Linked DNA regions of Caenorhabditis elegans. The protein of the gene in region 1 purifies or fractionates together with the protein of each later gene. This does not show direct contact. Each region holds a gene or a part of one and is shown in the gene's direction. Other genes may lie near its edges.

Region 1 (9,992 bases):
TAGAAACATCGATGAGACAATGAAGTATTATACTTGTAAAACTGGTCAACCAAGTAAATTTAATATATTTGTTTCTTTCCACGGAACATTTTGGAAAGACGCCGAATTACCATTACGGAATGATTCTGATGATATATTCAAAGACAAAAACTTGACAAAAGGAGCATTTGCTGTTCGTTGGAGAGAGCTACTTCAACAGAAATGGAACCTGGAGGAGATTAAATTTCACAATTTAACGAAAACCTCTTATATTTGGATTCCCGGTCCACCTACCTGGTTTATGACTTTAGAAGACGAAAAAAGTTTGAGAGAAAAATGTTGCTGATCATAATATTGGAGGAATAACCATGTGGACAATTGATCAGGATGATGATGATCACACTCTTTTGAAAGTTGTATCTTCTGCTGAATTATGCACTGGAGATGAGAAGAATAAGATTAAATACAAGTGTGATTGACCGAATTAATCAATTTTAAGTCAAACACAGATCCCCAACTAGGGAATGATAAAACTTCTATTAATTATTTGGCTCACTAGTAAAACAACATTATCGGTTGAATACATAAATCCTGACCGTGTGTTGCTGCTGATTGTTTTTATTTAGTTCTGTTATTAATCAGATAAGATACTTGATTCCTCTTCCTCAGTTTTATTTTTCTTATTTGACGTTCTTCCTTTATAACATCACCTTTCAGAAACTTGATGTCATCTAAAGTTTCTTTTTTTTTAGTATGAATGTTTTGAATTCAACAAGTCCTCTTCTACAAAATCGAAATATGTAAGTAGATTTAATCGCTTGAAATATAATTTAATAATGATTTTTCAGAACACCTAAAACCAGCTGCCTAACTCAATGGAAGCATCTTGTCAAGCCATGTTTCATTTTGATTGCAATTTTAGTGTTCTCCGCACCAGTTGCATATTCATTGTCAGAGTTAATAATGATAGCTCGTCATAAAAGTCCGACAGTTTCAAGTAAGCGGAACTATTTCGAAAATTAATATATACATTTTTTTTCAGATTTGATAAAAATAGTTATTCTATCATCGAAAAAATCAAGAACTATGATCAAAACAAAATCTTCTACTGCGACAAAATATGTTGGTCTACCTCCACTTTTGGATGCCCCGAACAGTAAGTATCTGTTGAACGCGCCTTTTTTTTTGAAAGATATGAGGTTATTAACTTGATGGGTTAGGTCGTGTTTTCATTACTGAGTATCAATTTATTAATTATGCGGGTATACCTCGACATTTTGATTTTCATACGTTTTTTGTCCACTGCTAGATGTTCAATAGTAAAACGTAACTGCTTGAATTTTTACTAGCCAAGTTTTTAGGTGCTTTTCTTGAGTTTTCTGAACAATATGACTATGTATAAAGTAAATATGAAATAATACACAAAAATCTGAAATCTTATAAGCTGATGTGCCGTCAAATTGTAATCACGAAGCCGCCAGTCTTCACATATAAAACAAAACAAAAGAATTTATGAGAATGTTGACTCCGAAAACACAACTTTGCGTCCAAATATTCATTCATTGTTTGTACGTCAGTGAATGATACTCTGACTTTCAGTTTTCAGGCAATGAAGCCCTTTCTCCTCCAGCTGCATTATGTGGCAAACGAATCGTGGGTTACTTTGCAGAATTTGAGAATTCTGGTCTAACAAGAAAACAACTTCAAATGCTAACACACATTATTTACCTGTTTGCTATTCCAAGGAATGGAGTTATAACTATTGTCGATGACCGATCTCTTAGAAAGTTCGAGGAAATGAAAAGTAATGCAAGAGAGGCAAGCTCTACTCTGAAAATAATGATCAGCATAGGCGGACATTATAATTCTCGTTCATTTTCGGGATTGGTGTTTAATGAAACGTCACGTACCGTGTTCGTCAACTCCATAGTCTCCTTCGTTGAAAAATACGATATAGATGGCATCGAAATGTTTTGGATGTGGCCAAGATACAGAGATAAAAACAATTATTTAATGTTTATTCAAGAACTTCGCTACGCATTCACGGAACTCCAAAATAAATTGAATAGAAAAGAAGATTTTGTGATCAGTTTAGTGGCCTCCAGCAATCTCAACCTATTATTCAATTTGGTGGAATTCTTGAATTCTGTCGACTTTTTTGGCATTTACTTGTTTAATAGTTATTCATATCAAGTTGGACCAGACTCACCGTTGTACGGAGGAGGAAGTAGAAACGTCGATGAGATTATGAAATATTATATTTGTAAAACTGGTCAGCCAAGTAAATTTAATATTATTATTTCGTTCCACGCAACATATTGGGAAGGCACCGATTTACCATTACGTGATGATTCTGATAATATATGGAAAGTTAACGAATCGGGAAGATTAGCAGTTGCTTTACGTTGGAGAGAACTACCTCATCATAAATGGAACCTGGAGAACATTAAATTTCATAATCTAACGAAAACTTCGTATATTTGGATTCCTGGTCCACCTACCCGGTTTTTGACTTTAGAAGACGAACAAAGTTTGAGAGAAAAAAACCGTTATGTTGCTGATCATAATATTGGAGGAATAACCATGTGGACAATTGATCAAGATGATGATGATCACACTCTTTTGAAAGTTGTATCTTCTGCTGAATTATGCACTGGAGAGGAGAAGAATACGATTAAATACAATTGTCATTGAGTGAATTAATCTTTGTTTAAAAGTCAAACACGGATCCCCAACTAGGGAATGATCAAACCTCGAACAAATATTTGGATCTATAATAAAAATATATTGTCATTCGAATAAATCCTCATTGTGCATTGCTGTTGATTATTTTTTAGTTCTGTTAATATTCAGATATGATACTTGTATTCTCATTCTCAATTATTTTCTTAATTGCTTTAGTTTCTATCATACGTCTCTGAAAAATATAGACATCTTACTATTCGAACAATTTTGTTTTTGAAATGAACCCTGTTGCTCTGACACTTTCCACAAATAGGAAATCAAAAATTGTGAGTTTCTGTAACCGTTTTAGTTTAATTTTAATGTGTATTTTCCAGCAAAATCAACCGCTTAACTCTGGATAGCGCCCGGGAATTTATTGTTCAATATGAACAAATATTTCTATTGGAAATACATACGTCGACTGCTGATACATAACGTAAGTTTAAAAAATGTGTTGCACATTACTAAATCATCATCAATTACAATTACAATGCAATGCAACTGTGCTGGGATCTCGATACGAATAGTTGTGCAGCATCCCTAGGCTGCATTGAGTTTTTTGAGAAACATCATATGTATGTGTATGCAGTATTTTGAACTTTTTGATTTGAATTTCCATCACATATTTTACAGTACTTTCCTGATTATAAAAGGGCCCGTTCAGAAACCAACCATCAACTTCGATTTTGTAATTGGCTTACTGATGGGAAATATTGTGATAATTAAATAAGTCAGAATGTATTATCGCTGATTTTCTATCTTTAGTTTGGTTGAACCCCGTTTATAGTCATGTTTGATACTTGATTCCTCTTCCTCAGTTTTATTTTTTTGATTTAACCTTGCCTCTTTAACACGCCTTGAAAATGGTATATATTAACCAATAGGTATCATCTTTAAGAAAATTTCAGTTATTCAAAGAAGTTGGTTTCCACTATGAATTCTTTGAATACAACCTATAATCCTCTTCTAAAATATCACAAGTTGTAAGTATATTGTTTCGGTTGGATTCATTCCTTGTTCCTTTTATGTATTTCCAGATCGCTAAAAACCCGCGCTTTAACTCAAGGGGAAAATATTGTCAAGCCTTGTGTGATTCTTGTTGCGATTATATTGATATCCACACCATTTGTGTTTGTATTTTCGAAGTTAATCATATTGGCATGTTGTAAATGTCAAACAGTTTCAAGTGAGTAAAGTTATTTTGAAATTTAACATTAAGTTGAAAAACTTAAAAAAGTCATCTTTCCAGCATCAATTAATGCTTTGATGTTAAACAATTCTACAACTTCACAGCATGCTCTGAAAAGTAAGCCATTTTTAAAAATACCTATTGGTGACTGGCAACCGTTGTATTAGAACACATTGCGTTTGTGCCGTTTTGTATGAACAGTGATGGTTATCACGTGAATGGTTCAGTTGACGATACTCAGAGTTTCAGTTTTCAGGCAATGAAACCATTTCTCCACCTGCTGCATTGTGTGGAAAGAGGATCGTTGGATACTTTGCAGAGTTTGAGAATTCTGGTCTAACAAGAAGACATCTCCAAATGGTAACACACATTATATACCTATTCGCTAGACCAACGAATGGAGTTATGACTCTGGATGGAGAACGAACTCGCCGAAAATTCCAGGAAATGAGAAGTAAAGCGAGGGAGGTAAGCTCTACTGTGAAAGTGATGATCAGTGTGGGCGGACATGATCATTCTGGTGCATTTTCGGCGATAATGTCTAACGAAGCGTCACGTAGCGTGTTCATCAAGTCCATTGTCTCGTTTGTCAAAAATGAAGATATTGATGGAATCGAAATATTTTGGATGTGGCCAAAACACAGAGATGTGAATAACTATTCAATATTTATTCAAGACCTCCGAAACGAATTCACTGAACTTCAAAAAAGGACAAATAGAAAAAACGAGTACATCATTAGTTTGCTTGTTCCGAAAAAGAGCTACTGGTCATTCGATTTCGAAGATTTTTTAAAATTTGTTGACTTTTTCAATATTTATTCAACACAATTTCGAGAAAAACAAGTAGGACCTGATTCACCATTGTATGGAGGAGAAGGTAGAAACATCGATGAGACAATGAAGTATTATACTTGTAAAACTGGTCAACCAAGTAAATTTAATATATTTGTTTCTTTCCACGGAACATTTTGGAAAGACGCCGAATTACCATTACGGAATGATTTTGATGATATATTCAAAGACAAAAACTTGACAAAAGGAGCATTTGCTGTTCGTTGGAGAGAGCTACTTCAACAGAAATGGAACCTGGAGGACATTAAATTTCACAATTTAACGAAAACCTCTTATATTTGGATTCCCGGTCCACCTACCTGGTTTATGACTTTAGAAGACAAAAGAAGTTTGAGAGAAAAAACTAAATATGTTGCTGATTATAATATTGGAGGAATAACCATGTGGACAATTGATCAGGATGATGATGATCACACTCTTTTGAAAGTTGTTTCTTCTGCAGAATTATGCACTGGAAAGGAAAAGAATGAGATTAATTACAAATGTGATTGATTTAGTGTTTTTTTTTTTAATTTTAATTTCTTCTTTGATTAGCTTTTTGGGAAACATGTTGAAAGTTAAATAAATCCTCATACTGTTACTGATGGCTTTTGATAGTTGGAAAACACTCATTGTTAATCTGATGACATACTTGCACCATCCTCCTCAGATTTGACTTTTTAGGGCAAGTTTAAAAAAATCAACAGGTTATTTCAGGAACTAATTTTTTCCTAAAAATTATTTATTTTATGAACCCTGTTCCTTCAAATTCAACAAATGCCCCTCTATTAGAGAATCAACAAATGTAAGTATATTTAATCGCTTGTAACTTTATTTAACAGTGATTTTCCAGAACACGAAGAATAAGCTGCCTAATTCAATGGAAGCATCTTATCAAGCCTTGTCTTATTTTGATTGCAATTTTAGTGTTCTCCGCACCAGTTGCATATTCATTATCAGAGTTAATAATGGTGGCTCGTCATAAAAGTGAAACAGTTTCAAGTAAGATAAATTGTTTCGGAAATTAATATCTAAAAACATCTCAGATTTGATAAAAATATTTATTCCGTCATCAAAAAAGCTAAGCACTACGACAAAAACAAACTCTCCTCCGAAACATTTGATTCAGGAAAGTGAGTATCCAGGGGGGGGATCCTAATTTTTTCATAGGTTTCATTTTCAGGCCATCAAACAATTTCTCCTCCTGCTGCATTTTGTGGAAAGAGGATTGTTGGATATTTTGCAGAATTCGAAAACGCTGGACTATCAAGAAAACAACTTCACATGCTTACCCATATTATTTACCTGTTTGCTAGACCAACGAATGGAGTTATTACTCTCGATGGAGAACAAACTCGCCGAAAGTTTGAAGAGATGAAAAGTAAAGCAAGGGAGGCAAGCTCTACTCTAAAAGTGATGATCAGTGTAGGCGGGCATGATTATTATAAGGAATATTCGCGTTTGGTGTCTAATGAAACGTCAAGAAACGTTTTCGTCAAGTCGATTGTCTCATTTTTCAAAAAAAACGATATAGATGGAATCGAAATATTCTGGACGCGGCCAAAATACGAAGATATTAAAAGTTATTCAAGTTTCATTCAAGAACTTAGGAGCGCATTCACTGAACTTCAAAAAAGGTGGAATAGGAAAAACGAATATATCATAAGTTTAATTGTTCCAAAAGAGAAACACTGGTCATTCGATTTGAAAGATTTTTCAAAGTTTGTTGACTTTTTCAATATTTATTCAACACAGTTTCGAGAAAAACAAGTGGGACCTGATTCACCATTGTATGGAGGAGAAGGTAGAAACATCGATGAGACAATGAAGTATTATATTTGTAAAACTGGGCAGCCAAGTAAATTTAATATAATGGTTTCGTTCCACGGAACATTTTGGGAAGGAGCCGAATTACCATTACGTGATTATTCTGATGATATATGGAAGGAGAAAAACGTGGCACGAGGACCATTTGCAGTACGATGGAGACATCTACGTCAACGTAACTGGAACCTGACCGATATTAAATTTCACAATTTAACGAAAACCTCATATATTTGGATTCCTGGTCCACCTACCTGGTTTTTGACTTTAGAAGACGAAAAAAGTTTGAGAGAAAAAAATCGATATGTTGCTGATCATAATATTGGAGGAATAACCATGTGGACAATTGATCAGGATGATGATGATCACACTCTTTTAAAAGTTGTATCTTCTGCTGAATTATGCACTGGAGATGAGAAGAATACGATAAAATACACGTGTGAATGAGTGAATGTAATTATTTCAAATTCATTTTTCTGTTGTTCCCGTTCAAAATGAATGTCTCAATAAATTGAAAATTGGATAAATCATTAATATATGTCTACTTCTGCTCATTATCTTATTTTTAGTTCTGTTATTAATCCTATAAGATACTTGTTTTCTCTTTCTCAGTTTTTTCGAATTTATTTCTATAGAACGCCTATGAAACAGGTATAAAATTACATTTCAGAAACTATTTCACCATTCAATTTTGTTTTCATGAATCGTGCTGATTTGAACTCAACAAGTATCCCTCTTTTACGAATTCAAAACATGTAAGTATGTTTGATTGTCTCTAATTTAATTCGACCATGCTTCTTCAGAACACGAAAAACCAACCGTTTTGCGCAATGGAAGAATCTCATCAATCCATGCTTGATTTTAATTGCAATTTTAGTTATATCAGCACCAGTTGCATTTTCATTATCAGAGTTAATAATGGTGGCTCGTCATAAAAGTGAAACAGTTTCAAGTAAGAGAAATTGTTTCGGAAATTAATATCTAAAACCTTCTTAGATTTGATTAACATGCTTATTCCATCATCGCAAACATCAAGAACTACGATGAAAACAAATAATTCACCTACAACAAAACTTGTTCAAAAAAGTAAGTATAGTGCGATTTTGTGTGCCACTCTGAAGTTTGATTATATTAAAAGAAAGACAGTGTAGGTGTGAGCGATTTAGTAACCTTTTTCCCATAATTCGTCTTTAGTAGTTCTAGCATACATAGATCTCATTTGTATAACTGAACGTAGCTTCTCTATTGTGGTATAGGATTGATTAATCTGTTCAGAGTAGTCAGGTTAAGACGTGCATTAAGCTGCCAATTGTAATAAAAACCAAAAACATAAAAATCTTTCTGACATCATGACCACACCTTATCAAAAGTCAATTTTTAATTAGAAACGGTTAGAATATTTTTGATGCCTAACTTACTATTAGGGAACTGCTGGAAAATCAGAATAAAAAACCTTTGGAAAACCGGACGTCCGGTTTGCCATCTCTGGTGGTGGGCTTATAAGACGCAATTTCCCAGAATTTTTACTTTCAGGCAATGAAAAAGTTTCTCCTCCTGCTGCATCGTGTGGAAAGCGAATTGTTGGATATTTTGCAGAATTCGAAAACTCTCCTCTATCAAAAAAACAACTGCAAATGTTAACACACATTATTTACCTGTTTGCTATTCCAAAAAATGGAAGTTTAACTTTTCGCGATGAAAGTTCTCGCCGAAAATTTGTGGCGATGAAAAATGAAGCAAGGAAGGAAAGCAGTACTTTAAAAGTAATGATCAGCATAGGCGGACAGTATAGCTCTGGTGAATTTTCGGGATTGGTGTCCAAGGAAACGTCACGAAATTTGTTTACCAACTCCATTGTCTCCTTTGTTCAAAATTACGATATAGATGGAGTCGATATATTTTGGACATGGCCAAAATACAGCGATGAGAACAACTATTTAATGTTTATTCGAGAACTTCGATACGCATTCACGGAACTCCAAAAGAAATTGAATAGAAAAGAAACTTTTGTGATTAGTTTAGTGATCTCCAGGAATGTCAACCATTTATCTAATTTGGTGGAATTCTCAAATTTTGTCGACTTTTTAAACATTTACCTGTTTAATAGTTTTTTAAATCAAATTGGACCAGACTCACCATTGTACGGAGGAGGAAGCAGAATCGTCGATGAGAATATGAAGTATTACATTTGTAAATCTGGACAGCCAAGTAAATTCAATATAATTGTCTCGTTCCACGCAACATATTGGAACGGCGCCGAATTACCATTACGTGATGATTCTGATGATATATGGAAAGATAACAACTCTGGAAGATTACCAATTGCTTTACCTCGGAGGCAACTACGTCAATACAACTGGAACCTGACCGACATTAAATTTCATAATCTAACGAAAACTTCATATATTTGGATTCCTGGTCCACCTACCCGGTTTATGACATTAGAAGAGGAAAGAAGTTTGAGAGAAAAAAATCGATATGTTGCTGATCATAATATTGGAGGAATAACCATGTGGACAATTGATCAGGATGATGATGATCACACTCTTTTGAAAGTTGTATCTTCTGCTGAATTATGCACTGGAGATGAGAAGAATACGATAAAATACAAGTGTGAATGAGTGAATGTAATTATTTCAAATTCATTTTTCTGTTGTTCCCGTTCAAAATGAATGTCTCAATAACTTGAAAATTGGATAAATCATTAATATATACGTCTGATCATTATCATTCGTTAGTTCTGTTATTAATCAGATACGATACTTGTTTCCTCTCTCATTTGAACTGTCTTTATTTCTATAACACGCCTTTGAAACAGGTATTAAATTATATTTCAGAAACTATTCCACCATTCAAATTTGTTCTCATGAATCCTGCTGATTTGAACTCAACAAGTGTCCCTCTTTTAAGAAATCAAAACATGTAAGTATGTTTGATTGTCTCTAATTTAATTCCATCATGCTTTTTCAGAACACAAAAAAACAACCGTCAATGGAAAAATTTTATCAAGCATTGTTATATTTTGATAACAATTTTAGTGTTATCCGCACCAATTGCATTTTCATTGTCAAAGTTAATAATGGTGGCTCGTCATAAAAGTCCGACAGTTTCAAGTAAGCGGAGCTATTCCGTAAATTAATAATTAAAAACTTTATAGATTTGATAAGAGTGTTCATTCCTTCATCGAAAAAATTAAAAACCACGACAGAAAAAAATTTGCCTACAACGAAACAACTGTTTAAATATAGTAAGTTTATGTTAAGCTCTTTTTTGTGCTATCCTAAGGCTCTAACATGTAAAAAGGAACAAGCTTAAGTAAAAAATATTTTTAAAAAAGTAATCGGAAAGTGGTTAATCTGATGAACATTGGGAAACTGCGAGATGGAAGCATTAACCTGCCACTTAGAAATAATTAAAATCATAAGAGCTTTTTATGAAAATTTTT
Region 2 (11,940 bases), on another chromosome or scaffold:
TTTGATCTTTATATATTTTTGATGGATTAGTCTCTTTTATGAGTCACTTATAATTTTCCCCTCAATTTCTTATTGTTTATGAGATGGGCAGGTGGCCATGGGGTACGTGCACATTTGAAACCTCAAAGAAACAACGGAAGACATGTTTTTCCGGAGGTGTGACGTGAAAATTGGTAGCTTTTGGAAGAAATATTTAGTAGAACAACAATATTTGAAGTTTCTATACTTATAGTAAGTAGGCAATTTTATGTCATTTTTAGTGAAATATTTTAACGAAAATCCCATTTTTGTTCTTGACCGATTGTCTTTCACTTTCGAATTTCAAAGTTTTGTTGGAAGAAACCAAGAATTTCAAAAACTGCTATAGAATCCCTTTGGGCATTTAAATTCGAACAAAGTAAAACATCATCAAGTCATTTGGGAGTTGTTTTCTTCTTTTGTCTCCCCTCTTCTTCTTGTAGTTTAATCATCATCATTCATTTAAAAAAAAGAGCATTGATGAGATCATCACATTGTATCTAAATGCTCCAAAAGAGTCAGCTGACATTCCCTCTGTTCCATCACCCAATTCATTTTTCTTTTCTTTTCTTCTTCTGGCAACAAAACGACGGAAGGAATTGGAAGAAGAGACGAAAAAGGAGTGCCGATTGTGTTGTCTTGTGACTGCAGTTCAACTGCTGCTCAGAACAACGACCATCTGCTTCCCGGGGTGACAAGACACTTGAAAGAAAGAGAGACGAGCACCACAAAAATGGATGCATTAGTGATTTTGGATCCTTTGAAATGATCTTAGATTTTTTGAAGAAAGACCGACGATCGGATCTCGACAAAAGTTAAAATCTTCAAGTCACTACTACCCGTTCCACAAGATCCCGTAAGACAGATTTCAGTTCACTTGCCCTAGATATCACATTTCCATTGGTTTTTCAAACTCTAAACATTTCTTTTCTTTTTTTGTAAGTTGATAGGATGCTTCCTGTCAAAGTTTCTGAATTGTTTTAATTATAGTGCACGACTCATTGAGCAATCAAAAGTTTGGAACAATTTCAATATTAACTAAAAGGAAACAGGAAACATGATAGGACGCTTCCGAAGTAAGCTGCTCAATTGTTATGATTATAGTGCTCACTGCATTGCTCAACTCAATGAACAATCATAAGATCAACACAATTTCCAATCACTTTGAATTGAACAGACACCAAAATGCCAGTGTGACCTGATAGATTCTAATTTTTTATGATTATAGTCCTCGATTTACTGAATATTCAAAAAAAGTCGAAAGTAGTATTTTCGGACTCAGCGACACCGGAAACAGCCAACTCATTGTATTCTTCTGTTTTCCATTTTCTTCTTCCCATTACAAAATGCTTTTTTCTTCGATATTCATTCACTAGTTACTACGACCAGATGTCGTTCTGAACTAAGGCGGCAACAACAGCTTGTTTTTAAGAGTATAATGATGGCCACTTCAACGACCAGGTACTTTGGTTTCATTTGGCATCGTTCCCTCATCCGGAACAACCAGAAATCTCAGTCTGACGAAAGGGAGAGAGAGACGATACGAATTGAAATGTGAAACGGATAACTAGCATCCATTATTAATGCACTAGAGCATGCGAAATTGACTCAATCAGTGTCGAGATTTCGAGAGTCAGAATGAAAAGAAAATACTCGCTCGCCGCCGCGTCAGGAGACGAATCAGGAAATTCTATCGAAACTTTGGAAAGTGACAGGAAGATGAAAGTTTCAAAAGTGGGCATAAAAAAGTCTTTCGATGAAAAATTAGATTTCTAAAACATTTTTTACATGATTTTAGAAATTTAAAATTAAACTATTAAAATTAAAATTTAAATCCTTTGAATGAATATTTCAGAGATTTTAAAGATTTTTAATTAATAGAATTTTTTTAAAACATTTTTTTAAAATTTAGCTCGATTTTGAACATTTTGTTTTTAATTTTAGACAGATTTAGACGAGAATTTATTACATTTTTTTCTGCATACTTTTTGCTTTTTGTCTTCTTATCAGTATCGAATTGCATCGAAACATCGATGATCAAATTTTGAGCTTTGCATCTTTTTTTTCAGATATCTTTTTGAAAAGAAACAACTTACCCGTGAAACAATTCCATTCAATTCTGCAGGTGAAACGTCGTCATAGAGATGAGTGATGAACACGGGAACACCAATGATAAGATACGAAAGAATTCCACCGAAATAATCGAAAACATTCGTGATACTGTTTAGAACCATTCTCCATTCAGTTAGCGATTTTTGAGTTTCAATTAAATTTTTTAATTTTTGATTCGTCATAATATTCTCCAGAACACCAGCACGATAGAAGGCGATTGCTTCGACATTCGAACGAACTTCCATATGTCTTTGTCGGAAATCTCCTTCCATTTTCTCCTGTTCTGATACTTTTTGAACAATCGGAGACAAAATCATCTTGTTGATAATTGTTTGGATACAGAAATAGGTGTAGATCGCTGCGGGACCAATCCAACCGGAACTTTCATAAGTTAGCCATGTGTAATATCCAATTATGAATGGAGCTGTAGCAATTGGAGCTAGAAGATCATTGGAAAGGATTCGAGTGGCTTTTTCAATATCTTGGGTTAGACGTTGATCTCTGGAAAAATATCGAATTTAAATAATTTAAATTGAGAGAAAAGTTTTTCCTTTCAAAATTAAATTATCACGATAAATTTTTGATCGTTAAATCTTGTGTTGACATGTTGGTACGCGCATTTTAAGGCATCAAATTTTATTAATTGTTATAATGTGCCTATATCAACAAATTAACGCGAAATAAACAGCAATAAAATATGATATTTTTATTCTAAGCTGTATTTTAGCTGTTGCGACAATGACAAGTTGAACAAATTTCAAATTCTAGCTTAACTTGGTTTTTTCCAAATTAAGCGAAAAATCTAAAAACTCATAGTCAGCTTTTCAATTAAAAGAAAAATTGTAAAATATTATTTGATTTTATAAAATTAATTTATATAAAAAACTTACGGATTATCAAGCATATCCCCAGAAGAAGATAGCTTGAAGAAAGCTTGTCTCTTGAAATATAACCTATGCATCGTGAGATTACATACTTGACGACTTTTGATCGCTAACATATTTGTAAGATATTTGAATACTGCTAATGTCTGAAATTAAACGCTAATTAGGATGAGAAAATATCGAATTTCGATCTTACAAAAGCTTTTCCAAGAATAATCGCGGCTCCCCGTGCACACAGAATTTTAAACGTGTCAGCATCCTTGTTTCCCAGTGCCACGTAGAACAGACTTGGCTGGATTCCAACTAAATACGTCATTACTTGATCGAGAGCAGTTGCGATGAGCAGTGCTCCGGCGAGCCACGCGGTTATCGATCGACGATGACATGGAAACAGGATTTTAAGAAGACGCCAGAACCTCCGAAAGAAGAGGAAGTCGAGGGCCAATCTGGCCATTTTGACCGGATTTTGGGCCGAGGCGTTTTTGCGACCTGAAATTTTGTGATTAGGAAGGCTTTTTTCAGAAGATGCCCCAGAAATAGACATTAAGAAGAGGAGGAGTGGAGTTGAATTCAAGAAAAATAGTGAATTTCAGTGGAGATTTTAGACAAACTTGAAGCTTTTTTTATGACTGGACAATTCTACTGAGATCAACCGGAGCAAAAAACAAAGCATTTTTCTGGAATTTAAAATGTTTCAAGGAGAATATTTAAGACAACCAAACACCATTCAAATCCGAAACAAAAAAGAAAAGAAACGTAGGCCGGCCATACCATCCCATTCAAACCAAATGAGGTCGATAAAGGCGTTGAAAAGAGCACAAAGAAATGAGCACAGAGACGTGGACAATGAAGAACAGAAATGGATAATGATTATCACCTTTTTCTGTTCGTACTTCTTCCAGTTGAATTTCTTGATCCGACTCCATGCGGGATGTGCAATCTGGAAAGAGCTGGCTGTGAGTGAACATGCAAAAACATAATTTATATTTACAATAACAATAGAGATAACGACGATCAAAACAAAACTAAAAAACAAAAGCTATTCAAGGTGCTGCTGAGTTTTTGTGCATTGATAACAATTCAGTTTTACAGAAAAAAAAACAGAAAATGAAGCTTTCGGCATAAATTATTACAATTTTATGTTCCAAACATAAATAAACAGACTATAATGATTCGAATATTTTGAGAAAAAGCTTCAGTTTTCGACGGTTTTGCAGGAATAAGTTCGGTCAGCTGTACACGCAAATACATTTGCGTCCGCACACAGTGTAACGAGGAGAGTGGGGGACAGGAGAAAGTGAGGCAAGCGGAAAGAGAGATTGCAAACGCAGACGATGAAGAAAAAAATGATGGGCGGGGAAGCATTGGGCACTTTTTGGGGGAAAGATGAGGACCCTTTGATATTCAGAATTTTATATTCAGATTTATAACGTGATTCGTGCGAGGAGAATTATCAGTTTTATATAGGATCTTTGAGTTGAAATAAGACGAGAATTTAATTTTTTATCAACAAAAAATCGGGAAGATATGTAACGAATTTCTTGAACGGAAAATAGCAAGGAATCTTAAAAATTTATGAAAAATAAATTGCAATTTTCATACTGTAGAAATTAAAGGGACATTACGAATAAGCCGAATAAGGCCTCGGCACGATTTCAAAAATGCAAATACGCTCTGTTGGAATTTGCTTTTCCCGCTCAGTTTTTTAAATTTTAAAACTTTTTTTTTCATTCTTTTTCATTTTGGCTCCTCAAGATTGTTCCTGCTTTTCGATCGTTTTTTCGAAACCGAAAATTACGAAAATACACCCAGATTTTGGCGATTTTTGTAAGCCTTTCTATAGTTTTTAATCCCCAACAAAAATTATATTTTTTAAGCCGACGGAGAGAATCCAATCCCTCGACATTTACGGAAGATCGCCTCAAAAAAGGAAATGAGTACAAAAAGAAAGATTGTGGTTTCTTCGGGTAAAAAACAAATTGCATTCTGTGCAAATGTGTATTACGAAATTTCTTTTTTTAAGATTCCGATGATGATATGCCATTCACCCAGGAAAAGCAAAAGAAGGCAGCGACACCGGCGAAAAAAAGGGTTCGGAAATTCATGTGAACTGAACCCTCATTGAGAAATGTTTCAGACAAAGCCAGTAGTACTAACCGATGACGACGAAGAAGAAGAAAATGCACCTCAAAAAAAGACTGCACCAAAAAGATCGAGAAAGCAAGAAAAAGAAGAGAGCGATGTGAGAAAGCACTCTAATATCCATGAAATATCGCAATAATTAGCTTTTAGATAACCTCTGACGAAGACGAGCTCGTGCGCGGAACTGATGAAAAAAAGAAAAGAAAGGGTGGAAAAAAGGAGTTACCAGTTGGTCAAAAAACGCTGGATTATATGTTCAAACCTTCTTCGTCATCTTCGAAACGTGATGATCCTAAGAAAAAAGTCGAAAAAACATTAGTGAATCCCGCAGACTTCTTCAAAAACTCACCAGCGCCATCTGCATCAAAACTTCCAAAAGTTGCTCCGAAAACTGTTGAAAAACCAAAAACGCCAGCTAAGAAGCCAGTGGAGATCAGCCCGTCGACCAAAGAAAACACTAAAACAAAGAAAGTGTCGGACGATGAGTTCGTAGATTCTGATGATAGTTTTGACACGTTCACTCCTATTACTGTGAAAAAGAAGACACCTGAAAAGAGAAAGGAGACCCCGAAAAAGAAAGAGCTTCCTTCTGTCAAAAAAGAATTCCCAAAGAAGCAATCAATTCCTGTCAAAAAAGAAAAAGAAACTCCACAGAAAAAGGCGTTATCAGTGAAAAAAGATCCACCGAAAGTAACCTCCGAGTCATCTTCGTCGAGTCAAGTTTCCACGTCATCAGTCGTTTTTCAACCGAAACCAAGTGGGCCACCCCCAGCACTTTCATGGGTTGATAAGTATAAGCCGAAAAGGATGGGAGAACTTGTTGGCCAGAATGGAGACAAAAGCCCAATTAATAAGCTTTTGGAATGGATTAAAGACTGGGCAAAACACAATCTTGGCGAAGGGGCAAAAATTAAGAAGCGTAAGTAATTTTATTTCTATTTTATTATAATATTATCGGCAATTTTCAGCAAAACCAGCTCCATGGATGTCATCTCAAGATGGTACATCATTCAAAGCAGCTCTTTTATCGGGTTCTCCTGGAGTTGGAAAGACTACATGCGCCTATATGGCTTGTCAACAACTGGGCCTTCAACTTGTCGAAATGAATGCATCAGATGTGCGTAGTAAGAAACATCTCGAAGCGAAAATTGGCGAACTCTCTGGTTCTCATCAAATTGAGCAGTTTTTCGGAGCGAAAAAGTGTGCTCCACAAGATAATCAAAAGGTTCATCATATCCTGATTATGGATGAAGTCGACGGAATGTCTGGAAATGAGGATCGAGCTGGTGTGAGTTTAAATGAAGAACTAATATATTAATATTCAAATGTTTATTTTTACAGATCTCTGAGCTCATCCAAATTATCAAGGAGTCTAAAATTCCAATTATTTGCATTTGTAATGACCGGCAGCATCCGAAAATTCGTACACTGGCCAACTATTGCTATGATCTTCGTTTTCCAAAGCCACGTGTCGAGACTATTCGTTCTCGGATGATGACCATCTGTTCTCAGGAAAAAATGAAAATTGGCAAAGAAGAATTGGACGAAATTATCGAGTTATCCGGTCATGACGTCCGGCAAACAATTTACAACCTGCAAATGAGGTCAAAGGGAGTTGGAGCAAAGATCAACCAGAAGGATATGGCTGTGGTAGGTCTCCTAGCCGTGAAATTTTGCGATTTTCGCGCCAAAAATGGGGTACTTGGTCTCGATACGAAACTTGCGCCTGGTTATACAAATTCTGAAATCTTAACAACATTTTCAGGATGCATTCTCGGCGGCTCGTCGTCTCCTGGATTCTCGTACGACATTAATGGAAAAGCAGGAAATGTTCTTCACTGACTATGGAATCATGCCACTTTTCGTCCAGGATAATTATCTCAATATGAAAAATGAAAAGCATAGTCCAATCCAAGCGATCCGTGGAATACGAAAAGCTGCAGACTTCATTTCCCTTGGAGACCTTATTGATCGGCAAATTCGTGGTGGAGGATCCTGGAAGTTGCTCAATGAGCAGAGCATGATTTCTGCTGCACTTCCAGCGATTGCCACTGGTGGACATTTGAAGGCAATGATTCAGTTCCCATCGTGGTTGGGAAAAAACTCGACAGCTGGAAAACGGAAGAGATTGCTTCAGCAACTGGTTCAACACACACATCTCAAGTAAGTTACGCTAAATTCATTATGGGAATTAGGAATTTATTTATTACTTTCAGAGTTTCTGCTGGTACTCACTCATTTGCCACTGATTATGCTCCAATGCTCCGTCAGAAAATAACGAAACCACTTCTTGAACATGAAGCTGATGGAATTCCAGATGTGATCAGCACAATGACAGAATACGATCTCATCAAAGACGACACTGAAGCACTCACAGAAATTGTTGCTTGGCCTGGAAAAATTGATCCGGCTAGTAAAATTTTGAGTAAGGTGAAAGCATCATTGACTAGAACTCTAAACAAGACTGGTCGAATGCTTCCATACTCGATGGATTCTGTGTCAAAAGGAAAGAAACGAGGTGTGAATTCAATTGGAATTGAAATGGACGAAGAAGGAAATCTAGTGGAGAAATTTGAAGATGAAGATGGAGAATCCGATAATGAGGATAACGAGGAGAAAACTACTGATGTTGTTATTAAAGTTAGGACTGGTGGAGGTGCCGGAGCTTCAAAATCTGCTCGAGGTGGACGTGGTGGTGGTCGGGCTCGTGGAGGAAGAGGAAGCAAGAAATGATTATAGATGTCCAGTATTATTCTAACTATTACCGTAAACTTGCAATAAACCCTCTTGAATGATCACTATTTCGACAAAGCAGATATTCTTGCAGGAAAACTATTAAAAACTGGATAAAAAATCATGTTACAACGATTTATTTGAGCACGATGAAACAATTTAATTTTAGTCATTTTGCACCAGGAGGACAACGTATTATGGTTTTGCCAAAAATGTTGAAAATTTCGTTCAAGATCATTGAGATATTCACAACTGTTTTCTATATTTGTCAAGTTAGTTCGCATTGAAAGAGAAATCAACTCTGACTAAATTGAAGACAATAGAATCGTTGTGAAAACTGGATGAACCACGAAATTTCGCGATATAGTGGTCTTTCATAAAAAGGAATGAAATCGTAGGGAATTGGACCAGCAATTGTGAAAGCATCGGGAGGGATTGTAACATAGAAAATGTGGTAATGGAGTGCACGTGGTGTCAAAGTGTCCCATATTGGTTTGATCTACGTAGAAAACGTCGTAGATCTACATAAATGCGGGAGAAGAGACGCAGAGTTCTCAACTAATTTTGCATGGTTAAAAACGTGCCGACGTCACATTTTTTGGGCAAAAGATTCCCGCATTTTTTTGTAGATCAAACCGTGATGTGACAACCTGATACCACGTGGGAGTGGACTAGAAAAACTAAGCAAGAAATATGGATAAATGGAGAAAAGAAGAATAGAACTGGAGGAGGAAGCAGGAACTATTTTGAGCAGGAAAGATGTTGCACTGCGATTTTGTGGCCTGAAAAGTTAGAATTATGAAATCCTTGTTTTGTGGAAGTTTCAATTGGAAACAAATGTAAAGGAATTATCGTAATTTCGCAATTATCTGAAACACAAAATTAAATGCACCCATGGGTATCGCAGCGAAAAAATTCTCCTTGACAAAACTTTCTGATTTTACCGTCATCTCTGGGCACATATTTTCAACAATTACTGAAAGCTCTAGAAGATTTCAATAAAAAACAAATTGTGTGTCTAGCTATGAAGACAGATCCAGCTAAAACGGTGCGCCTTTGCGCCAATCGGTCTCGGCACCCCAATTTTTTGTTAAATTCAGAGTACTGTAATTTCAAACTTTTGTTGTTGCGGAATTTTCAGCGATTTTTCAAAGTTTTACGATAAACTATGCATTTATTGAAAATTTAAACCCATGAGAAACTCTATGAATAGTCGATGAATGTTCTATAGAAACAAGAGTTTGAAATTACAGTACTCTTTAAAGGCGCACACCTTTTGAAATTTAACAAAAATTTGTCGTGTCGAGACCGGGTACCGTATTTCTGGTGCAAAAACTGCTATCTCTTCTGGGTAATATTCGTTTTAGTTTTCAATATAATTTTTCAAATTCTCACCTTCCAGTTGATTCAAATGGAAATCTTCATGAAAATAGCCATCTTATCATTAGAATATTTTGAGCGGTCTCAAAGAATGCTCCCACTTTCAAGTTCATAAGGTAGTAGCAGTGTGTCTCGGAGCACATTACATCACTCTGGTCCAGCGAGCAGAAGTCGGCTTGGCGGAAAGGAATAGTGAATCGGAACTGCAAAATCTGGAGGTGATGTCCTCCAGGAACTTGTTCCATTCTCATGAAGAGAAGGCGGGCGTGAATAACTTGATCAGGAGCATAGTTGCCTAGTAGGATAATGGAAATGTCTGGCATTGCCAAAAATAAGATAGAAACTGACGAAATGGTAAACAGTCTACCACGTAAGTGGGCGTGAAGCGTTGAATGACCAAATAGGTGAGAGTTACACATGTGAAACGAGAAGCAAGAACAAAATACTGATAAGAAATAGCGAGTGAGCAGTTGATCAGAGTGATTCAAGACTGTGATACCGCAAAGGTTTGCAACAAACATATGCATTCATTTCTATATATGTCTGCTTCTCCCGTCTCTCGTCAGTTTTTAAGATGTGAGTTCAATAATTTGGAATTTCATGAAAACTAGTAAATGAGTGAGTCAGGGATGGGTGCTAACTTTTTTTTTTGGAAAACGGCAGGTTCCCGGAAAAAAAATGAAAAACTTCGACAAATCGGACCTTTTTCAAAATTTCACAAAATTGAAAATTCACCAATTTGGTACAATGATCAAATTATTATTTTCCAACTTGCAAGCGATACACGATAAACATGCAACATCTTAAAATGAATGTTTTAGAATCAGATTAAAGGGCTAGGATGATTCAAAAGGTTGATAAATTCTGACAGAAACTAGTTCCAGTTGAAACCCTCATTTTTATGTACCAAGAATCGGATGTAGCCTTATCAACACAACTGAAATATTTTCAACTAAAACCGTACTAGATTTTTAGACACAAGTCATTCTTCACTTTCCTATGATTTCTCCTGTTTTTTATCCTGCTTCTTCTCATGCTCTTTTTCTACGCCTTATGTTCTTTCACTATGCTCATAATCTCCCAGTCCACCCTCCGACATGAACCTTGTATGTATCATCTTTCTTTTCTTTCCACGCTTCTTCAAGAACGTAATAAATTATTATTATTATTATACTGACTCTTCCTGTGTAAGTTATGAATGATCAAACAACAAGCATAACATAACGCAATACAATTGTATTTCAATGGTCAATGAATTCCATATCAATCCTTTCAGCCTTTATGGCTCATTGAATGTTTCAGAGTCTTTTAAAATAGTGATCTTTTGGCTTCTGCTGCCGCCATGTCTTTTGGCAAGAGTCTTCTTAGCAGTTGAAGCTTTCGCTATGAAAGCTTAGGCAAGCCTAAGATAAATTATGTGATGGGTTTTGTTTGTTGTTTAATATTTAATAGCTTCACAGGAAGACGTAGGATGCAATTGAAAAGTACTGATTTCAGTTGAAAATAGTTGCCATTTTGATGAGGCTACACACAGTTTCAAACTGACCACTAATGCCCTTCTTTTTTGAAGCTTTACTGGTCAGTTTAACTTTAAATGCACATGAAAATGTTGCCATGGTTGAAATTGTATTTATAGCGTCTATTTATTCTTGGTATCACTGTAGATTGATAATTATCGGAAAATCCAATTTTCTAAAGACCGTCCTATTCGTCTTTTTTTTTGTTTGAAAAACGCTACAAACTACGTATGTTCGAGAAACTGTACGTTTCTCTCAATGTTTAAAAAGAAATTGATCAATCTCTTGGCAGTTTTACGATCTATTGGTTTATATATATTTTTTCATCATAGATCATGAAATACTGGGTTATAATTTTATATTTTATTGGAAAATTCATTTTCGCCAATTCAAATGTAAGTTTTGTTTAATATTAACATATGTATTGAATGATAGTTAATTCAGGTCAAATGTCCAAAAAATTCAATTGAAAAAGAACTTGAATGTGCCATCAAATGTTGCTCTTCATTCGTGAGGTATTATTGTTGTGGCATTGAAGAAAATGAACATCCTCAAAAAAACGATCGCTATGTTGATTTTAAAACGCAGGGAATGCCAAAAGCTGACAGATATAGGCCGAATAAAAACGGTTGCCCGTACGTTTTCTGAAATGAGATTGAAATATCACTAAACTACGTATCGAATTTAAAATAATTTATTTCGCCAGCCACTTAAACAACTAATCGTCATTTGCACTCTTCTTTTAAACAGTCAAGAAAACCTACAACTTTGAAAATTTCTAAAATAACCAAAACAACCAAACAAATATATTTTCAGATTTAATTTCATTGCTATCGGATTGATATCTTTTATTGTAATCTCAATTCTTTTTTCCTTCTTCTGCTGGCTTTATCGCTGTTGTATTCCGCAACGTTATGACAGTGTGCAGTACAGATACCAACAACATGTCAACAGTTAAGAAGTGCTAAGATTTCTTGAAAATGATACACACTTTTCAAACACACTTTTAATTCCAATCATGTCTCTTGCTGTGTAGGTTGTGAAAGATAAAACAACAAACAATCCCACACACACTTTAAAATCACCCACCCCCACCCACATTTGACCACGGACTTGTTCCAATCGGTCAATAATTAGTTTATTCCTCCCCACTA
Region 3 (9,566 bases), on another chromosome or scaffold:
GGAGAAGTGATCAAGTTTAATGCGGAAATTGGTAAGTTGAGTGGAAGGAGGAAGAAACAATGTTATAAACTATAAAATCAGCGTAGTATAGTATAGTGAAAGTTGCATAAGAACAAACTATCAAATCAAAACGTTCAGGTGCGGTGTGAAATTAAAACTGAAGATGATGAAAAGTATTTGTAGTGCTAAATGTGTCATTTCTCAGCATGTAACATTAAAATCGAAAATAATTTTTGATAAAATTTACTGCTATTCTCCTATTAAAATTTTTAATCAGTTTTCTGAGTCATTTTCTAAATTTTGTTACAGACCAAATCCTTGATTATTTAAATTGAGTTGATGACGGATAAGCTCATATTTTTTACAAGGTTTTTATCCTGAAATTTAACACTTTAAACGAAAATTGGTGCCAGTTAAATTATGAAAAAAGTAATGTGATAACAAATTCATAGTTAGCAAATATATTTGGGTCATTTTATTGGATTTTGCCAAATTTGTCTGCTTGGGATGCAGGGTCATTTTCATTTGTAATTTTAAATGTAAATCTAATATTTCAGGATCCCTGCCACACAAACATAAAATAGTAATTGCTGGAAATCATGAGCTCGGTTTTGAAGACGGTGAAGAAATGAGTGAACGTCAACTGGCAGGCCTTAACATGCTCGGAATCAATAAAGCCTATGAACTTCTCTCGAATTGTACATACCTCTGTGATAAATCATATGAAGCATATGGACTCAAAATATATGGAGCACCATGGCACTCGATGCCAGGATACTCATTTTTCCGTCAGAGAGGACAAAAAATTCTTCACAAATGGAATCAAATCCCCGCGAAAATTGATGTTCTAATGACCCATACACCTCCACTTGGACATGGTGATTTTAATGCCTGGGACAAAATGGATGGAATCCTTTGTGGATGTGCAGAACTTTTGAACACTGTCGAGCAACGTGTAAAACCAAAATATCACGTGTTTGGACACGTTCATCAAGTATGTAAGACTCTAAAATTTGCCGCAGTTTTCAATTTCTTTCGACTATAAATTAGTTTTTTTTTTAAATACTGGTTGTGCTGTGAACATACTGCACTTTTAATTATTTGCCCGCATGAAGGTCAATTTTCCGATGATGTGGCGTGAATCTTATTTTGTAATTGTTAGCAATAACAATTTTTGCAAAAACAAGTTGAAGTAATTTTTATTTTTGCAGAAGCATGGTGTGACTACGAATGGAGAAACAACATTCATCAATGCAGCACTTTGTGATCATAAGCTTCGAAGTGCATATGATCCAATCATTTTTGATATTCCATTGCCCCCAGGAAAAACTAAACAATAAGCTTGTACATCTCCAAAAAGCTTTACTCTTTTTTATTTCATCCCTCTGTTGCATTTTGATTTTATTCTTGTTCCGTACTGTTTCTCACTTCTGAGTCGCCTTGATCAACGAATGTTCCTTTCAATTGTGTATCATTAGCAATTGTATTTGTGTGTTTGTGTGACCCGAAATGCTTTTATACCGGTCTTCCTCACTTTGGCATTTCTTTTACTGTTTCTTCCCGTGTTTAGTGACCTGATGTTATCCAATAAATGTACATAAAACAGCGAATAATCATTTCATCGACGTATAAAAAAAAGGGTATAATTTTATCATATTTGGGTAGAACATAATGGTTGAGTTGGACATGTTTTTCCAGGAATACATGGAGGTGCCACCGTTCTGCATGAGTTTTGACCAAAACACTTAACATCTTCACAACTCACGGGGGCAGCATTGATTCCTAGTAATTCTCCCAATGATGGTGTTACTGAAAAATTGTAAAAAATTCAGCTTTTGCACAGTTTTAAATTTTATAAAACCAAAAAAATTGATCAAGATTTTATATTATTTTTTTTGAAAAAAACAATTATTTTCCATTCGAGCAGTTCAATCTGAATACAATTTTTAAAAGGAATTTTTTGAATTTTTAAAATGTGGATACGTAGAATGCTCAAAATTAAATGAGAAAACCATCAAATTAATCATTGCTTCTAAATAAAAAATAATATTCAAAAAAAGACATAACACGTCAGGTGCATATATTATTCACAAACGATAAGTTTTAAGCGCTTTCTCATGGCATTCTGATTTGTAATAAAGCGTCGGTTCACATACACATAAAAATTGAGTGCAAGCGGTTCGAATCAGGTTCATGTTTATGAATATATGTTTAAATAATGTCTGACTTTTGAATAACTAATTAATATTGATTAAATAACTTACCTTCTGCTTTTACGCCAAGTAGCATTAATATCCCAAGTGTAACAAAAATGAAACAAATTTTGAAATGCATTGCCAATGAACAAGAAATTTCAAAACATAACCCATTTTACCTACTTTTGTGTCAGTCTTCACACCCTCATATGACCGATACGCGATCATCTTTATAAATCCGTATACAGTTTTGTTAATCCTTTTTAGTATTTCATTTTCTCTACTTGTTATTTACGTCTACCGACAAAAAAATTTATTTAATTTAGCCGATAAGGTAGGAAAAATCAAATAATGCCAGAAACTTGATTAATTCGTCTCCAATTCTCCATACCAACCCACATTCCGCCTGATATCCCGACGACGGGCATTTTTCGTATTCATTATATTATATATGACTACCAGCTTTCTCGTTTCAACTTTTTGGTTGCTAGTGTTCTATTTTTTGTATAAAGGTTTGTTTTCAGTAAAGGTGACTTTATAATTGAATACTACACTGTTTTCAGAAGCTATGTGTGAGTTGGATGTGTGTGAAGGAGTGACTTGTTATGGTGATGCGATTTGTCATGAACATAAACTAGCTTGTTTTAATAAAACTTCTCCTGATTGTTTTATTATGGTGCCAGAATGCTCAGATAAAACCATTGAAGATTATGAACGAGAAAGAATTGATTCCAGAAATGTTGAACGTAAGAAGTTGTTTTATTGATCAGTCAAGATTTATATTGTTGCAATTGAAACTTTCATGAAACCGATAATTTTTCAACATACAGCATTTAGTAGTATATTTTATTTCAAAATCTAAATATCATACTTCCTCTGTTAATCTGGCATGCAATGTCATTTTTTTGATCGGTTCGTAAATTTGAAAGAAATAAAGACTGTAAGACTGTAAGATAAGAGGCTTCAAGACTAATTTTCGAATGCCCCCTCGGAAAAATGAGCGAAAATTGAGAAAATGTGATTTGACGTGAGTTTTCACAAAGTACGGCACAAATCAGTGCAAGACTGATAGATGAAAAACGATATTTGTCTTCACGGCCTTTCGAGTAATTTAAGTTTCCTTTCACTGTTTTTCAGAATCGTGATCATGTTTATTGGTTGAAGACAAACTGCAAATAAATTACCAAAAAACACGTAGTTTTCATCACTATGAAATGGGTCATCGAAATAGGCCTAAAATCCATTTTTTTTAAACTATTTTAATCACGGATTTTATTTATTTCAGTACTGGTATCCAAGCCAGACTATATGAACTCGAATGATAAAGACACTCTCTGCCAAGGTATCAATTGTTTTGGAATGAATACTTGCACAATTGTCCGAGTTCCTTGTATAGATGATCCAACCTGCATTAATTATTTACCATTCTGTGATGACTCTCCACTTACAACATAAACCTATAATTATTCAATCCTCGTAAACATTATGAGGTTTTTTTTCGATGGTGCTACCTTAATTTTTTTAAAATTTTCCTTCAACCAATATTTTTTTCTTAAAATGGCATCCTTTCGAGCAATATACATATCGTGAGTTCATTTCGATTATTTTCCAACTTCAATATTTAAACTTCCAGGGTGACTTTAATGTCTATAGTCATCATATATCTCAACTCGTTCGCAAACGGTAAGCATTTCTGTAACAAGATTTATTCGACTGGCCAAATCTGTAGTGATGTTTTATGGCAAACAAGTGAAATATAAATCTTGTATCATTGCAAAAAAGTAACCAATAATAAAACTATTCCAAAAATTTGATTCTTGGATGGTTTTTACTTTCACTTAATTATATTTTCGTTGAACAAATTTTGAATGTTTTTTTTTGTTTGCTCGAAAAACTTCTGATTTAATTTCTGATTGGCTTCAGCTATTACTTATGACTTTATTTTACATTTTCCAAAACACGCAGTTTTACCACGACTAACAAATAATTTCAGAAGACAAACCCAGATTGGCTCGGGAAAACCGTCCCTATACTATTCTCAGTACTCATTTAAATTTGAAAGATTACGATCGGCTTTGTTTGAATGGACCAACAGTGAAATGTTACGGAGAGACAGTTTGCAAAGTTGCAAAAGTAGAATGTCTTCCAAATAAAACATGTGATCCGTTGATGGCAATTTGCTCGGATAAATCTTTCGAGGACTATCAAGACAGAAAATTCAATTATACTTCTTCTCGTTAGGCACATTTCCTTTTATTTTTCGTAGTCACGCAATGCATTTTCCCATGTTTTCCTTTTTGATTGTTTTCATTCACTTCAGTTTATAGAAATGAAGTTACTTTTTCTGTTCTGTTATTTTATATTTCTGGCTAAATATTCACATTCACAACTACCAGATGCATGTGACTTTGTAACATGTTACGGTCAATCCATATGTATTCCTGTGCCTATTCCATGTATTAACAAGCCATGTCCTGTTGGCCCCGCTTGCAAGATTTTTGCATGTCCAGAAGGAAGCAATCCAAGAGATCATTCAAATTGTATTTTGCTAAAAAAATCGACACTGTGATGGAATTTTGTGAATTTCATACAGTGTAATAAATCAATTTTCAAATGTCAGAATAACCAAACGATTTCTAACAAACAATGCCAAAGTTTTTATATATAAGCTTGAGGGAATTGTCAAGAAGTTTGTAGACTTGCCAAAACTTGTACTTGAATAATCAAAAAGTTATTATCTGAAAGCTTCTTTTAAAAAATTTTCGACGGAGCAAACTGTTTTGAGAGCAAACTAACCACATAAACGTGTTTAAAATTATCAATTTTCAATAGGAGACTTCTCATAAATGAATTAGATTTAGGGGTATTGGAATTATTGGAACTGGAAAGTACCGTGTTTTATCTATTAGAATCACACCTATTGTTCGACTTTGGCAGCTGATCAGCGTATCTCAATTGTCGTTTGTTCTAAACAAAGATTGTTAGCTGACAAAATATTTATTGTTTGTTTCTTTTACTATTTTTTTCACAATTTGGAAACAACGTTAAAAATTTTTGAACGGCTGTACACAGTTTTTGAGTATTTTTGCGAGTTATTTTTATGAAGTTTCTGGCTTTTGGAGCTATTTTGAATATATTCAAAGCCCATCCCAGCAGTTAATCTTCTGTTCCAACAGTCTTGAGTTTTTGCTTGTATATAATAAAAATACTCAAATGGGCAACTTTCATAATAAGACTTCTCAAAAAAATTGCATAATTTTTGAGATTTCTCATTACCAAAATTTTGCCTAGGGCGCATTTTGAGTCTATTCAAGCAAAAACCGAAAACAGTTACTTCTTTGTTCTTCTCAGGCGTACTTTCGTAGAAAGTAATTTTGTAAATAACATATTTTTAAACTTAAAAAAACAGCACTCAAGAAATATTCCGGTCGGCTGAACTCTCTCCGGTCTCACCAAGTCATTAATCTTTTGACTCATCCTCGGTCTCACGCCTGTCAATTTTATTTCAATGATTGCTTCCTTCTCATAACTTCCCCACTCCGAAAGTTTCTTCAGAAATTCTTTCATCAAAATGGTGAGTGGTTTTTTCTTCATATCTTACAACAAATGAAAGTGTGTTTTTTCAGAATTTTCAATTATTTATTTTCTTTGCTCTTCTTGCTTTTGCTAGATCTGGAGTTCTTAGTGAGTACCAAGGTTTTATTTAAAAATCAAATGACTTATTTTCAGAAAACACAGAAAACATGCCCATTTCTCACACAGACGCACTCTGTGGTTCTATCAAATGTCCTGATAATTATAGGTTTTAATATTTCCAATTATAAATTTTAAAATATTTTTTCAGATGCGAACTGCCAGTCAGTGACTTGGAATGTGGTTCTGAAGACGATTGTTCAGTTGATCCAAAGTGCGTGCCAATCCGTAAGTGTAGTGAAACCAAAAATATCCAGTGGTTCTTGGAAACTTCCAGCAATCCGCAAACCGGAATGTGAGGGCGATGAAGAGCTCAAGGCGTGTGGCTCAGCGTGTGAACCGACATGTGATAACGAGAATCCAGTAAATCAACGTTGAGATTATGTATGATCATAAATTGTTTCTCAGGAATGTGATTTGGTGTGTATGACAAACGTCTGCCAGTGTAAGAAAGGACTCGTCAGAGACTCGGCAACTGGAAAATGTGTGGAGAAAAATAAATGCAGTAAGCTTCAAAATTTATTACTAGACTTTAACCAATTTAACCATCAGTGATTATTCGCTGAAAACCTGCACATAATACTAGTCATAAATTTTTCATTCAGGCAAATGCACTCTTGAATGCTCTGAGAACGAAAAATGTGAACTTGTGGAGCTGACTTGTGAGGAGAAACCATGCCAAATTGTGGACGTATGTGTTGCACAACATACCACTGAATAATATTTTCGATGATTAAAAAAAAAGTTGTTTTTCTCATATTTTAATATTGATGTTTTCATGCTAATGTTTTCAGAAAATTTAAAAATAACAATATTCGAATTTTAACATAATATTTGTATTCCTTTTCAATAGCCAAAAAACTTATGAACTATTCCGTGTTGCAATACAATGAATACAAAAAGTCAGTGTTAACCAAACAATGTTAAGTTGGTAATTATGGATGAAACACATTCGAAATACTCTCCAGTGAGCCAAGCCAAAACTATTTGCACCAAGCGATACGTTTTAAATTGATATCTTCTAGTGAATTGATTCATTAAAATCATTGGTCGGAATGAAATTTCGTAAGGTTCTCGATTTAATGTGTTTCTGATTTTTTCTGAATTTTCGAATACAAATTCTTCGAGATTTTTAAACCTTTGTTGTGAGCCCAATTTACAAAATAAATACGTGACCGGTGAAAGATAAATTTCTCTCCAAAAGATTGAGAAGACCTATAATATCTCCCATTCGATCTTATCATGTTTCTCGTATCATCCCTTCCGAAAAAAAGGGCGGTTCTGCCGTTTTTTAGTGTTCCGGCACAATAAATAGAGCCGTTAAAAAGCAAAACATCGGTTGGTTGCCCTTCGTTATTGTGAAAATGGTGAGTTTTTGAGTTTTTTTTCTAATATAAAAATTATACACTTACAGAGGATACTTGTCATAATCACATGCATCGTTGCTGTTGCTACCGCCACAAGTAAGTAAATATATGTGATTTGGTACTTGAACGGTTACCAGATCATAAATATTTTTTTAGAAACATGTGAAGCCAATGAGGAGCTGGTATCGTGCCATAATACATGTGAACCACAATGTGGATATACCCCTGTAACAATTAACTTAATGTGTCTCCCATTACTGAAAGTTTCAAAATTTAGAAAGCTTGCACGGAGCAATGTATCATGAACACATGTGACTGTAAAGACGGATTTGTTCGTAATTCTCTTGGAAAATGCGTCGAAGTATCTGAATGCACCAAGGAAACTACAAAATGCCCAGAAAATGAGACATTCTTTGGCTGTGGAACAGCTTGTGAAGCAACTTGTGAGAAACCAAATCCAACAGTTTGCACTAAACAATGTATCGTCAATGTCTGCCAATGCTCCAAAGGTTTCGTTCGTCATGGACTCAGATGCATTGATAAGAAAGATTGTCCAAAATAATTTGTTTTTGAGTAAACATTTCCAAGTTCAATAAACCATCAAATATTGGAAAAAATTCAAAAAGAAGTGTGATGAAGGAAACTGGAGTTGTGTGCTATTATTGATAACACAATTGTTACATCAGTATTATTTTTCCTGGCATGAAAAACTAAAAAAAACTCTGTTTGATCTTTTGGATTTATTGGTCATCGTTTTTTTTCAATGTCTATGTCTCTGGCAAACAAAAGGGCGGTTTTGATAGACTAGAGTCCTCTGCGTGATTTAGTGTTCTCGAACAATAAATAGAGTCATTTCAAAAGAAAACATCAGACTGCTGCATTACTTTTCTTTCTGTGATGGTTCGTTCTTTTTTTCATTAGAGCAATGCAAAAACTAATGAGTTTTTAGAGAACTTTTGTCATAATTGCCTGTTTTATTGCTGCTGCGACAGCTGCCAATAGTAAGTTTATTTTTAAATGATTATTGTTAAATATTTCTGGAAAATAAACATTTTACTTTTCAGAGACATGTGGAGCCAACGAGGAAATGGTTGCATGCCATGATCACTGTGAGACACAATGCGGATACACTCCAGTAATCTATAATTTTCCATGTTCTCCTATAATATTTAATTTTCAGAAAGTGTGTCTATCTGCTCAATGTATTGAAAACGCATGCGACTGCAAGAAAGGATTTGTGCGTAATTCACTTGGAAAATGTGTCGATATTTCCACCTGTACCAAGGAAACTAGCAAATGTCCGGAAAATGAGACATTCTTCCGATGCGGAACCGCTTGTGAGCCAACTTGTGAAAAACCAGGACCAAGACCATGTACCAGACAATGCATTGTAAATGTTTGCCAGTGTTCCAGTGGTTTTGTCCGAAACGGTTACAGATGCACCGAACTCAAGGAGTGCCCAAAGTGAACATTTTGTATTCACATTTGTGATAATAAATCGTTGAATTTCATATTCTGAGAAAAACCAACAAATTGCCAAATAGAATAACATTCGGTTACCATGAACTGGAAAAATGGAAACGAATTTATATTTCTTTTTTGGAACAAAACACAAACAATGCCGTGATCGTGATATCATTCCGATGGAAAACTGTGTCCGATCGGAGTACACAAAGTTTTCGTTTTTGGGTACAGATTACCTCACTAGAGTATTGAATTTCATTTGGTCTTATAGGTTCGATGCTACACACAAAACTTTTTTTAGGATTGGCAATTGTTGTTTCATAAACATTCCAAAAGCGACAAAAACAGACAGTTTAAATGTTGGCATCATATATTTTTTTGGAAAAAAAATTCGTTAAAAAATGCGTTAAAAAATTTAACCGTGTGGCAGAGCTGAGCTCATCCCCTACTTGGTTTCTTAATATAGGAACATACACACAAAAAACAAATAAGAAACTTAAGCAAGGAAATTATTCAAAAAAAGATCAATCATTCTTTTGTAATGTCTAGGTTAGAAAATGTCGTAGACGCTTAAAACTTTTTAATTCAAAAATCACGATTCTTTTACAGCAGCGTTTTTTCCAGGCACATTCTGGAAAATGAAAGACTACGCTATTTTACGTGAGCATTTGCAATTGTTTTCTACCTCGTAAACATAAAAATAATCACATTCATAAATACCAATAGGTACGCGTCAGAAAGGTTCTGCCAATTTCTGCACAATATCATTTGTCCCAGAAAAAATTTGGCAAAAGTTATAGGAAATTAATTTTTCCCTTTACTTTATATTTTTGAAACTTTTGACTTT

Evidence for each region.
Region 2: the proteins of chil-5 (region 1) and rfc-1 fractionate together in Caenorhabditis elegans (co-fractionation; one large-scale study listed by BioGRID). This does not show direct contact.
Region 3: the proteins of chil-5 (region 1) and C25E10.10 fractionate together in Caenorhabditis elegans (co-fractionation; one large-scale study listed by BioGRID). This does not show direct contact.

What each region holds. Positions count from the first base shown.
Region 1 is NC_003280.10:9,855,112-9,865,103, reverse strand, and holds chil-5 (GH18 domain-containing protein), read left to right. Parts: upstream 1-5,428; 5' UTR 5,429-5,472; coding exon 5,473-5,528; intron 5,529-5,576; coding exon 5,577-5,725; intron 5,726-5,769; coding exon 5,770-5,856; intron 5,857-5,906; coding exon 5,907-6,994; 3' UTR 6,995-7,084; downstream 7,085-9,992. Other genes in the region: chil-1 (GH18 domain-containing protein), read left to right, coding at 733-779, 828-976, 1,022-1,135, 1,586-2,673; C08H9.18 (uncharacterized protein), read left to right, coding at 2,943-2,990, 3,039-3,065; chil-3 (GH18 domain-containing protein), read left to right, coding at 3,637-3,686, 3,741-3,889, 3,953-4,009, 4,149-5,236; chil-6 (GH18 domain-containing protein), read left to right, coding at 7,247-7,302, 7,351-7,499, 7,544-7,633, 8,081-9,168; chil-4 (GH18 domain-containing protein), read left to right, coding at 9,414-9,469, 9,518-9,660, 9,705-9,794.
Region 2 is NC_003283.11:14,638,753-14,650,692, reverse strand, and holds rfc-1 (Replication factor C subunit 1), read left to right. Parts: upstream 1-4,713; 5' UTR 4,714-4,841; intron 4,842-4,891; 5' UTR 4,892-4,947; coding exon 4,948-4,981; intron 4,982-5,037; coding exon 5,038-5,105; intron 5,106-5,151; coding exon 5,152-5,256; intron 5,257-5,299; exon of another isoform or gene 5,300-5,306; coding exon 5,307-6,075; intron 6,076-6,124; coding exon 6,125-6,444; intron 6,445-6,497; coding exon 6,498-6,806; intron 6,807-6,921; coding exon 6,922-7,319; intron 7,320-7,372; coding exon 7,373-7,889; 3' UTR 7,890-8,026; downstream 8,027-11,940. Other genes in the region: pmp-3 (ATP-binding cassette sub-family D member 4), read right to left, coding at 2,115-2,631, 3,021-3,160, 3,211-3,503, 3,892-3,940; C54G10.1 (uncharacterized protein), read right to left, coding at 9,311-9,592; F43D2.7 (CX domain-containing protein), read left to right, coding at 11,122-11,181, 11,231-11,421, 11,603-11,744.
Region 3 is NC_003283.11:9,052,519-9,062,084, reverse strand, and holds C25E10.10 (TIL domain-containing protein), read left to right. Parts: upstream 1-5,731; 5' UTR 5,732-5,766; coding exon 5,767-5,769; intron 5,770-5,821; coding exon 5,822-5,879; intron 5,880-5,924; coding exon 5,925-5,997; intron 5,998-6,039; coding exon 6,040-6,116; intron 6,117-6,165; coding exon 6,166-6,251; intron 6,252-6,296; coding exon 6,297-6,393; intron 6,394-6,493; coding exon 6,494-6,609; 3' UTR 6,610-6,759; downstream 6,760-9,566. Other genes in the region: UPF0046 protein C25E10.12, read left to right, coding at 1-31, 558-994, 1,212-1,340; C25E10.13 (uncharacterized protein), read right to left, coding at 1,652-1,809, 2,265-2,334; C25E10.16 (Prohormone-3), read left to right, coding at 2,647-2,707, 2,759-2,941, 3,481-3,650; C25E10.11 (INSulin related), read left to right, coding at 3,753-3,781, 3,829-3,878, 4,189-4,436; Serine protease inhibitor swm-1, read left to right, coding at 7,253-7,255, 7,303-7,351, 7,412-7,482, 7,533-7,817; C25E10.8 (TIL domain-containing protein), read left to right, coding at 8,153-8,155, 8,205-8,256, 8,320-8,390, 8,436-8,723.